Linked DNA regions of Caenorhabditis elegans. The protein of the gene in region 3 purifies or fractionates together with the protein of the main gene of each other region. This does not show direct contact. Each region holds a gene or a part of one and is shown on either strand. Other genes may lie near its edges. The genes, in order: F54D11.4, hrg-11.4 and ctnb-1.

Evidence for each region.
Region 1: the proteins of ctnb-1 (region 3) and F54D11.4 fractionate together in Caenorhabditis elegans (co-fractionation; one large-scale study listed by BioGRID). This does not show direct contact.
Region 2: the proteins of ctnb-1 (region 3) and hrg-11.4 fractionate together in Caenorhabditis elegans (co-fractionation; one large-scale study listed by BioGRID). This does not show direct contact.

Annotation. Positions count from the first base shown.
Region 1 is NC_003283.11:4,614,310-4,618,065, forward strand, and holds F54D11.4 (DEK_C domain-containing protein), read left to right. Parts: upstream 1-1,841; 5' UTR 1,842-1,857; coding exon 1,858-2,075; intron 2,076-2,123; coding exon 2,124-2,434; intron 2,435-3,284; coding exon 3,285-3,349; 3' UTR 3,350-3,468; downstream 3,469-3,756. Other genes in the region: Y61A9LA.10 (Bms1-type G domain-containing protein), read right to left, coding at 374-1,404, 1,451-1,499; Protein sumv-2, read left to right, coding at 3,638-3,696.
Region 2 is NC_003284.9:423,793-427,548, reverse strand, and holds the start of hrg-11.4 (VWFA domain-containing protein), read left to right. Parts: upstream 1-1,913; 5' UTR 1,914-1,923; coding exon 1,924-2,020; intron 2,021-2,359; coding exon 2,360-2,549; intron 2,550-3,480; coding exon 3,481-3,723; intron 3,724-3,756.
Region 3 is NC_003279.8:5,577,828-5,581,583, forward strand, and holds the start of ctnb-1 (Beta-catenin-like protein 1 N-terminal domain-containing protein), read left to right. Parts: upstream 1-1,838; coding exon 1,839-1,895; intron 1,896-1,937; coding exon 1,938-2,498; intron 2,499-2,542; coding exon 2,543-2,746; intron 2,747-2,790; coding exon 2,791-2,899; intron 2,900-2,962; coding exon 2,963-3,207; intron 3,208-3,458; coding exon 3,459-3,577; intron 3,578-3,627; coding exon 3,628-3,756. Other genes in the region: klp-15 (Kinesin motor domain-containing protein), read right to left, coding at 1-234, 282-1,069, 1,201-1,354.

The DNA.
Region 1 (3,756 bases), on a different chromosome or scaffold from region 3:
ATAGATTCAACTATTTTTGAAAAAAAACCTTAAATTTTGGTAATTTTTACTCTTTCTAGAAGAAATATCTGTTTTTTTTCATCAACATAAATAATAATCTGATTAAAAATTGAATTTTGCCGGTAATGAGCTGAAATAATTCAAAATTCGGAATATCTTACATTAAAATTATGAATTTTCAGCTTTTTTTTCTAAAATTAAAATTTTCAAGACTTTTAAGCCATTTTTGAGCATTTTCTGTGATGTTTGAACAGGGATTAATGTTATTTTGAAATAAATTTTTCCATATTTATCACTAATTTTTAATGAAAAATGCTGATTTATTTAACATGGTTTCCCGTCTAAAATTGCGCTGAAATCCCGAATATCTTACATTAAAATTGTGAGCATTCTTTGACTCAATATAAATCGCATCCTTATCATAAATGACACCTCCTAATCCAGAAAACGGAGCATACACTTTCCGCTCTTTCTCATTCAACGCTCGTTTCTTAATCTCATCAGGCAGCGGACACGGATCGGGTAGACTCGTGACATTACTGATCCTCATATCACCAACACCTGGCACATGAATCGACGAATGATTCTTCAAATGAGCACCATGAACCCATCCATACATGGCAATGTGTCGATCGATGAGTGGATCCGTTCGAAGAGTTTCGACGTTGGTAATGTCTTCGAAACGATCACAAAGAACGTATGGATGAGCATCTTTCCACACCATCGGACGGAATTTCATGACAGAAATGAATCTGCAGAGGTTATGGATCTCATTATATTTATACTGTCCATGCATCATTCCAGTCATGTAGAAAAGCTTCGCGCCCTGGTAGAGCTCCGTCCAGAAACGATGTTTCAGAATTTTCTTGGTCTTATTGACACGTGAGATTCCATCGAGAAGATCCAAATGATTCAATACTCCCATAATACGTGGCATTCCGTGCACTTGGCAAATATTTAGAAATTCAAAGGTTTCCATTTCAAATCCATACGATGCATCGACCATTAGAAGCACCAAATCTGCGACTTTCGCGATATCAATCATATGATTAATATCGTTTTTGACCTCAATGAACTGTACACGACGTTTCTTTCCAGTTACAATTGTCACTGGACCATTGATCTCTCCGAATCCATCACGGAGGTAATACTTGACAAGACCCCGGAGAAGTGTCGTTTTTCCGACTTTACTCGGTCCAACGATTGCTACAATGATTGGTGGTGTTTCGATGGGTTTTCTGTCCATCATCAGAACATGTTTCTTCTTTTCATTGAGATCTGCAGCTCGTCGAATCGCTTTTCCAGCGGATACGGCGGAGTGGAAAGTGAAAGCTTTCAGATTGTTTCCCTTGACTCTCGGCTCCTTCTCATTTCGCTTTTTTGCTTTTCCTCCAGTTTTGTGGACTGTAAACGTGAAAAATAGTTAGTAAAAAGCTTGTAATTGACTTACCATTGTGCCCTTTGTTCTTTTGCCCCTCGAACGGAGCTGGCGGCGGCATTTTTGTTACCTAAAATAGTGAAATTAATTATTTATTTGATTAAAAATATTTAAATTTTATTTAATTGAGCAAAAAATCTAACACTTTACGGAAAAATCTTGAGGAAAACGGAAGAAATTATATTTCGTATTAAAAAATAAAATAAATTGGTTGCTGACGCGCACGGCGTGCGCGTCAGTGTCACGAAACGCGCCAGCATTTTTTCCGCGAATTTTTTCGTTTTTCTCCTTTTTTTCTCGTTTTCTATCGATTTTTCATATTTTCAATTGAAATTTATTCGAGAAAATTAATAAAAATGCCCTTTTTAAACACAAAAAATCTAAAAAACACGCTATTTTCCCATTTTCAGACTTTTGTAATGGACTTATTGGATATGGAGCTCGACCTCGGCGTCGAGCCCACTTCTAGCCGCATCACGCGTAGATCACAAGCCGCCACTTCAGTTACATCACAAACACCAAAAACTTTGGGAAGAAAAAAACAAACGACCACGCCAGCGAAAATCGAAAGTTCTACTGCTTCTGCTGCTAAAAATCCAGTAAAAGAGGAAGAAATTGTTCATTCAAAGCCGGAGAGGTCTCTAATAATTCAAATTCTTATATTTTTCCAACATTTTAGTTTCAGAACGCCGAAAAGATCACCAAGATCCCCATCTACCGAGAAACGTGAGAAGCGTAACAAGGCCAAGAAGAGATTCTCACCATCGCCAGTCACCAAGAAGCGCAAATCAATTCTCACTCCTCGTCCAGCAGTTTCCAACGACGCTACTTCAATTCCCGCCAGAAAGATCAAAATCGCCTCCCAAGCAGAGTTCACCGAGAGTCTTAATCAGTTCAAAGTGGCGCTAGAGGGCCGTGGGATCACTGATTTCGATATTCCAGAAGACTGGAAGACCCCGACGCCTTCCGACACTGTTAATCAGATCATTACCGAGCGTAAGAAGAACCTTTTGTGTCACGGCCTCCTGGAGTGTTCATAATTATTCGAGCGCGCTCGCGCGGCACCTCATGATCTACAGAATTCGCGGGAATTCGTTCCGCGGGGACAGCAGTTGTTGCTATTTTTGGCTTCTATAGGAAATATTTTTGATTTTTTGTTTTATAATATTCTTGAGAAGCATCTTCCGAATTGAAAATGTGTAAAATTATGAAATTTGGCCGAAAACTGGAAGTTTTACAGAAGGAAGCCACTACAGTTTTTAAAAAAATGTATCAGGATCGCCAGTTTTGCGATTTATGCGTCGTAAAATATGTCATTTTGTAGAGAATTAAAAGTTTCATAAGAATTTTCGTTTGAAATTTTAAAATTGTTTTCATTAAAAACTTAAAATTGAAGGAATAAGATTTTAACCTAAAATTGTTGATTTTTTGAATATTTTTTTATTAGAAATTAAAGAATTAAAATTTCAAACGAAAGTTCTTATGAAACTTTTTAATTCTCTACAAAATGACATATTTTACGACGCATAAATCGTAAAACTGGCAATCCTGATACATTTTTTTAAAAACTGTAGTGGCTTCCTTCTGTAAAACTTTCAGTTTTCGGCCAAATTTCAGAATTTTACACATTTTCAATTCGGATGATGCTTCTCAAGAATATTATAAAACAAAAAATCAAAAATATTTTCTATAGAAGCCAAAAATAGCAAAAAACTGATGTCCACGCGGAACGAGTTCCCGCAAATTCTGGAGTTCGTGAGGTGTGCAGCGCGAGCGCGCTCTAATAATTATGAACACTCCAGGAGGCCGTGTGTGAGTGTATGTGCCTAATCATGTACCTTTTCAGTCTCCGGAACCCTCCCTAACATCAGTGATTCTTCTTCGGCAGCAGCTCCTCCTGTAATGGTTTAATTACTTTTTTAAAACACACATATTTGTTTCCTCTAAAATATCGAAAAACCAATACCACACCATGTCATTGCCCCCATTCCCCCCTCCCCGTTCGCTAATAAATGATAGTTCAAAGGTCTCACCACGAAGTCTATTTTAATAATGTTTGAATTTTGAAAAAATTGATCTTAATTTCAAAGTAATTATTTTTTTCAACAAAGACTTCTGATTTCGCGGCGAGGCCTAGGCAATTAAATAATTAATTTAATTTTTAAAAAAAATTAATTTCTAAATTTTCAGCCAGACACCATGAAACCCGGCAGGAAATCTCTTCCGAAGAAGAATCGAGCATCCAATATCACTGAAAAGTGCGTTTGAATTGGCCAAGGAAAACTTAAAAATCCGAGACAGACGCAGACAGTCGTACA
Region 2 (3,756 bases), on a different chromosome or scaffold from region 3:
TTCTCTTCAACGAAGAGCAAAATCACTACTTCATTTTTCATTCCAGCTGTGATTTTTGTCTGTAAGCTACACCTAATCGCTAGCTGTATATCTCGACGCATCTTTCGTTCTGCAAAACTTCTAGTCGCTTCTTGTCTTGTTTAACCTTGATGGGAAATTAAGCCGGCTTTAATTTCCTTCTTTCTTTCAATCAACAATTTCCCATCGCTTTCTTTGTCTCTTTCAATGTTCCACAGATCACATAGTTTTAATGGTTTTTCAATGTTTCCCTTCTTACCGTCACACTACTTTCCAATATTATTCATCTTAATTTTATGTCTACCACTTCCAATATCAATCTTGCCCACCGTTTTCTCAATTTTTTTTGTCAAATTTAAACTTTTCTCTGCTTTTCAGTTGTGCTTCAGCCCTTTATATGCCAAAAACTTTTATTCAGAATTTTGACATACAACCACGTTTATTTCTTTTTATTTGAATGTTTTGAGAAATAAAGTTTTTTTTTTCAGAAAAAAAATTTTACAAAAAATGGTCAATTTTTTATTTAAAAAATTGGCACACAAAAATAAAAACAGACATGATTGTAGGAGAAAATTTTCAGACTTTTCAAGAAATTATAACTTTTAAAAAGCTATTTTTGGAGAAAAAAGCTCCCTATTTTAACAATAAAGTTTTGAGCCATTTCACGCGTGCACCAAAAAAAATGTCTGAGAAAAATGTCAGGGGTACGAGTTGAGTTTTCCTTTTCAAATTTTTTGTAAAAAAATATTCAGAACACTATCTAGAGCGACAAAAAACTTGGTTGGTGAAAACTCGTTCTAAAATCTGGCACTGAAGTTACTTCCTTCCGCTAACAACTTGTCAGGTGCAATCTAAGTTTCGACTAAAAAAAACAATTATTATTTCAAAGCTGGATAATTTATTCGAATTTTCGAAATATTGCAGAACTGAAAAGAAAAGAAGTTTTCCATAAACTTGGATTGTCAGTCAAATCTTGCAAGGACGTACACGTTGTAGGTTTGCCTTGGAAGAGGTCGTCCACTTCAACATGCAGTCCAGTTATACTCACTAGGAAAGTAATTTAACTCACTTTCAGACTTTCAAATTGAATTTATAAGAACTTAAAGCGGGTTTTCATCAAAAAATAACAATGGAATATAAAGAAGTCGATTTGATATTCTCCGAGCACGTTTTCACTGCTTTTGTAACGTTTGCAACTATTACAAATGAGGAAGTTTGCAATTTTGTAATGCTTTTAATAAAGTCTAAAAATAGGCAAAACAATTTAATAAATTTTTTTTTTTAAATATTTCAGAATTTTTGTTCAGCCTAAAACGTCTTAACAATTGCCTCAAAATCTTTTTAAAGCAGTTTTATTTATACTTTTGCGGAAACTTTGCAATAATCCTATAAATAGCATAAATAAACATTTTTTAAAGTGAAAACAAAGTTTCATTGGTGGTTTAAAAAATTTATAAAGCTTTATAGAACGTTGCCAGTGTAATACAACTGTTAAAACATAACTCACTTGAATAAATCACATGAAAAATTGTTTGATTAATAAAAAAACTTGTAAGTAACAAAAAACCTGCAAGTTCTCGACTGTAAAAACAACAGCTGGAAGCAAAGTGGAACGCTTAACCATTTTTATTTCTGTTTCCCACTGTCTTTTCCAGAAGTTCCTGAAATGTAAACATTTTAAACTGAATTTTCACAACACATCAACCTCTGCTCTATTCGAATTCTAGATGAGAACAACTTGCCAATGGAAGAGTATAATCGCATTATCAGTGACAACTAATTTAAGAGCCTCAATTGGATAAACTAACTTTTTCAAACAAAAAAAACCTGATAACAATTTTATTTAGTTTTATTTAATTATTACATTAAGAAATATCTTCTAAATAAAGACGATTTTTCAGTAAAATGCTCAAATTTGTAATTACAAGTATTCTACTACTGCGGGTCTGTAGTGGAGTAAGTATTCCCAATAAAAGTCAACACGGCGAACTAACGAAAAGCTGTAAGTTTAAGTAAAAAACACGTAAAATTGAAAATATTGGCAAAAGTTTGACATATTGAAAAAACACAGCAGGCTTACTTAAAAATGTTTACATCATAAGTTCTGGTCCGAGTCACAACTACACGAAAGGTATTGAGCTCACTTTTGTGCTTCTAGCGGGAATTTTTATTTGATGAATTAAATAACCAACTAAGAACAATTTTTTCAAGAGTGAATTTGGTGGAAACGCCAGTGGATTCTCTTTCTGGCTAGGCCAAGCCAACACATTTAATAGAACCTCTTCAAATCTTTACAGAAAACGTTTTTTGACCAGTTTTAGCCAGAGGGATTAAATTTCAGTGAATTCGAAACTCAAACAACTTGTTGCACTAAATCTATCGGAACCTTCTCAACGGGTTCAACCTACCTTCTCTTCAAGACCGAAACTGTTGGATCAAACCTCTCCAGTGACATGCTACAATAAGTCAATTGATATACTGCCTCATGACGGTACTGCAAAATTTGGTGATTTAGTGGAGAGTGATTTCAGGTATACATTTTTAGTAGGGAATATTGTAGAAAATCGTGGAGTGCTCGGAGATTGCTAACCAGCAGTTCTAAAAATTGAGCCTGTGGGACATTTTCACTCAGTGTTTTCATTAAAATTTAGGAATAGAATCTGGAAAATGTTAATTCTAGTTAAAGGTGGAGTGGCGCCAGTGGGGAAATTTCTTTAAAACACGCCTATGGTACCAAAATGACCGAATATCATGATAAAAAAATGCAAAAATTTTTTCTAATTTTAAAATTTGAAAATTGAAAAAATCTCAGTTTTTGCCTAATTCCGATTTGAGTTTACGCCAATTGGATTTGTTCGATGGAGCGCACTTGCACGTTTTAATTTTAATTTATTGTTATTTTGTCATATTTTTCACCAATTTTCCATGTTTTCAATGTAGTTTTGTCTGAAATTTGACGAAAAAGTCAAAATAAATGCTAATTTTTGATTAAAAAGCTAATTCACAAGCGTGAGTCTGTGAAATCTGTAAATTCAAGTTCGAAATCGTTTAAATGCATGCATTTTCTTTCAAAATAACAATAAATTAAAATTAAAACGTGCAAGTGCGCTCCATCGAACAACTTCAATAGGCGGAAATTCAAATCGGAATTAGGCAAAAACTGAGATTTTTTTCAATTTTCAAAAAATCATATAAAATTTAGAAATTTTTTTTGAATTTTTTAATCATGATATTCGGTTATTTTGGTACCATAGGCGTGTTTTAAAGTACTCGAAAAAAAATACTCGAAAATTGTCAAAAACGTGAAACTTGTTGTTGATAGTAAAATTGCCATTTTTCATTTTTCCGGTTTCTATTTGCGATTTAATAATAATCTAAAACTCTATCTGGATTTTCATTACGTTATTCGAGAACCAATACCAGATTAATAACATGTTTCATAATACATACACATATCTTCAGTGCGACTTGCTCCGACACTTTCACTTTTTACGTCGACAATTTTATCGAAGAGTTCTTTGTAATTATCAATACACTCGACGCCCTCAATCCGCGGGCAACAGTTTATAATCCGATTGGAGGCGAAGTGTCCACATGCAAAGATATCACCACGGACGTCACTCAAACAATTCACCTTATCTGCAACGGAAAGAATGTTCACGGAACTGGAGCGTATACGGTTCAGCTCTCTGCAGATTTGAACAAGTGAGCACACAATTAAAACAAGATGACCCAAAT
Region 3 (3,756 bases):
GGCGCGGTCACTGAGAAGGTCGTATGCCACGTTGTTGTAGACTTCTAGGAAAGACAACGAGAAGTCGAATTTCCATCCAAGTGACTCGAGCTTTCTGGATTCGGCGAACAGAAATGCAGCTGCTCTCGGGATGATTCCTTCCTCTTCACCATTTCCTCCTCGCATCGTGTGAGTTTTGCCACTTCCGGTTTGTCCATAGGCAATCAATCCGACGTTGTACCCATGCAGTGACGACTGAAATTATCAATTTTCAATTATTAATATTATATTTTGAAACTAACCCGAATGAACTCCTCGACGTTCGCGAACACTTCCTTCTGCGAGAAGACTGGCGTGAAAACCTTCTCGAATTTGACCACAATTCCAGGCTTCGAGCCTTCATTGATTCTGATGGTATCGATAGCCGGATACTCAATTGCAGAACTCGAGGCGTCGGCTTCAGATTTGATCAACGGCCGAACGCGAACAGCCACACGAATTTGACCGCGTAAATCGACAACATCGTTGTGCAACTTTCTCAACTCAGCTTCCTTTTCGTTGAGCAGATCCCGGAGATCGTTGTTGTGCACACGATAATCCTCGCACTCCTCCACTTTCGCCTTGTTGACTTCTTTCAGCGTGCTCAATTGATCTTGCAGTGAAATCAGCTTGCGATCCGCTCCTTCAAGTTTGCCATCCAGGATTTGGATCTTGCTCTTCTGATGTTCAGCAAAGTCGGTAGCCTCAGCCATCGCACTCTCGAGCTGCGCAATTTTCTCTTCAAGAAGCGCCATCTTAGAAGGGAGAATAGGCTTCTGTGCCACTGGTCGGGCTCTTGTCACCGACGGCTTCAGGGAAGAAGTCGCAGTTGAGCGTTGAGTGGATGGTGGCGGTGGACGACCTGTGCGAAGTTGTCGAAACGTAGAAGCTGCCGTCAGTGTGGAAATACGGCTCGCGGTGGATTGCATCGTTGGTATGGGACGGGAACACGACGCTGGTTTGGCCATCGCTGATCGTTCTGGCAACGATGCTCTACCAGTTGCAGGCGTTGTGGGGGTAGGCAAACGAGACGGAGGACGACGAGCAGCGGCTGAAAACTCGTAATTAAAGTAGTTGTTAACAAAAAAGGTTTTAAACAAAAACAAAAACATGTTTTATTTAGAAGTGTGAACACTTTGAAATCACGAGGAAGTTATTTAAAAACACAAATGACAAATTTACCTCCAATCGTTATTCCTCCAGGAGCCGACTGTCTTGGGATTGTTGTTGAATTGGCTTCTTTGGTGGATGGCGCGGCAGCACGTCCTCTTGTGATCTTCGGCGTTGCTCCGATAGTCGACCGAAACAGGCCACTTCTTCTTCGAGCGACATTCATCGCGAAATTTGGGACAAAAATGAGGAAATCAGCCCCTTCATTGACATTTTCCCGCTCAAAGTTGAACTCCGCCTCTGAAAATTCCCGCCAAATCGAATGGATTACCGTAGTCAACTACGGTATTAGATCAAAAATTTATATCATGTTGAGCTCATCCAGAATTGTCGGATATAATTATTTTGTTGTCAAAAGGCATAAAGAATGCCGTAAAAATTATTTATAACTATAACACAGAAGGCTTATCCATAATTGCACTGATATCAGGTTATACAAACAAATATATAAAATGCAGGTCTAGAAATTATAATGTGAGCGACACTCCGATATTCCGGTGCGCGCCTTGTTTACCGTATATCTACACCAAAGTAATTGCAAAAAAAAAATTTGAAAATATTTGCTTGCGAAAATTTTTATACACTTTCTTCAATATTTTGATTTTTCTGTGGTTTTTTAAAAATATAGGTTGGTAAATGATTGTTTCCAGATGACTTCTATCGATGTAACAGAGATTATCAAATCATCGACATCTTCTTTGTATCAGGTAAATTGATATTAAATTTTTTTGATTATAAATAGTTTACAGCCAGCAAGAAAGAAATCTCGTTTTGACGATAGTGCTTCTTCTTCATCTCAAGCTGGCCAGCCAAAACCAGAAGATATTCTTGCGGCTTTGGAAGCCGATCAATCAAATTATGTGGCTCTCGACGATGTGCAAGTTAAGAAACTTGTTATTCAACTTGACAAAAAGATGCGATTAAATCGAGAACAAAGAGTTAAAAATCCAGATGATGCTCAGAAATTCATGGAATCGGAAATTGAATTAGACAAGGCAATTCAAGAAATGCATAGTCTGGCTTCTCAACCAGACCTTTATGGATCGTTTGTTGAAGTCAACGGAGTTGAAATTCTTCTTCAATTATTAGGACACGAGAATACTGATATTGTGTGTGCAACACTTAGTCTCTTGAGAGAACTTACAGACGATGATGTGATGAACGAAGGAGAAGATGGAGCAGCTGAACTTATTGAAAGTCTTGTGTCTGGATCGATTATCACAACTTTGTTAGCATGCGTAGAGAGGCTCGATGAAAGCGTCAAAGATGAAGCGGATGGCGTCCATAATGCACTCGGAGTTGTGGACAATGTAAGAAAAATCGATATTTGAAAAACAAAACAATATATTTTCAGATGATTGGTTTCCGCGATGACATTACTGAAGAATGCGTAAAGCACGGATTCACGGTTTGGCTTCTGAAAAGATGCTTTCAGAAAGGTGCATTTGATGCGAATAAGATGTACGCTTCGGAACTTCTTTCAGTCATATTGCAGACTTCTGATACTGCAAAGGCAAAGCTGACAGAGAAAATTGATGGCATCGATATTTTATTGAGAGTGAGTAGCCAAACAAAGTATCAAGAATAAATTGAACTTTTAAGACCATTGCTGTGTACAAAAAGAACGATCCAGCAAATGTAGACGAACGAGAATACATGGAAAATCTATTCAACTCACTTTGTGCCGCACTTATGCATCCGGCTAATCGAAGTACGAATTTTTTTGAATATAAACACCAAAAAAATTGCTCTTGTTCAAAATAAATGTTTTCAGAAAAGTTCCTCGACGGAGAAGGTCTTCAATTGATGAATTTGATGCTCCGAGAGAAGAAACAAGCAAGACAAAGTGCTCTGAAAGTTCTGAACCATGCAACATCAGGAGACGAGGGAATCGAAAATTGCAATAAACTTGTCGAAATGCTCGGATTGAGAACAATTTTCCCGTTATTCATGAGAACACCTTCAAAGACAAAAAGAAAGGATACGACACCTGATGAACATGAAGAACACGTTTGTACGGTAAGATTTATGTTGTGATATTATTTTGAATGTTTTAGCTTCAAAATTGGACTGGTAAATCGGACTTTCGGTTTTTCTCCTTTTTTGAACAAAAATTGAGTTTTCAAATCTGCCTTGCACTTTTTGATACTTATCGAACATATAATTAAATTAAAAATCGAAAAATCTATTTCTACGAATTACATTTTACAAAAAGTGACTAATTTATATTGTAGGAAATGTTCTTTTGATGATAAATAATAATTTTTTAGATTCTCTCTTCACTGCTGGCAGCATGTTCGGAGAACCACCGTCAACGAATTGTTCAAAAATTTGTTGAGCACGAACATGAGAAAGTGGACAGAGCTGTGGAGCTATTTTTGAAGTACAAGTGAGTTGAAGCACATTCCGTTATGAAAAATAATTTTATTTCAATTTCAGAGAAAAAGTTCAACGATTTGAATTGAAAAAGAAGCGTCAATCACAAGAAGCTGGAACATCAGAAGATGATGATCCAGATCGAGCATATTTGGATAAACTAGACAATGGTCTCTACACGCTTCAACGTCT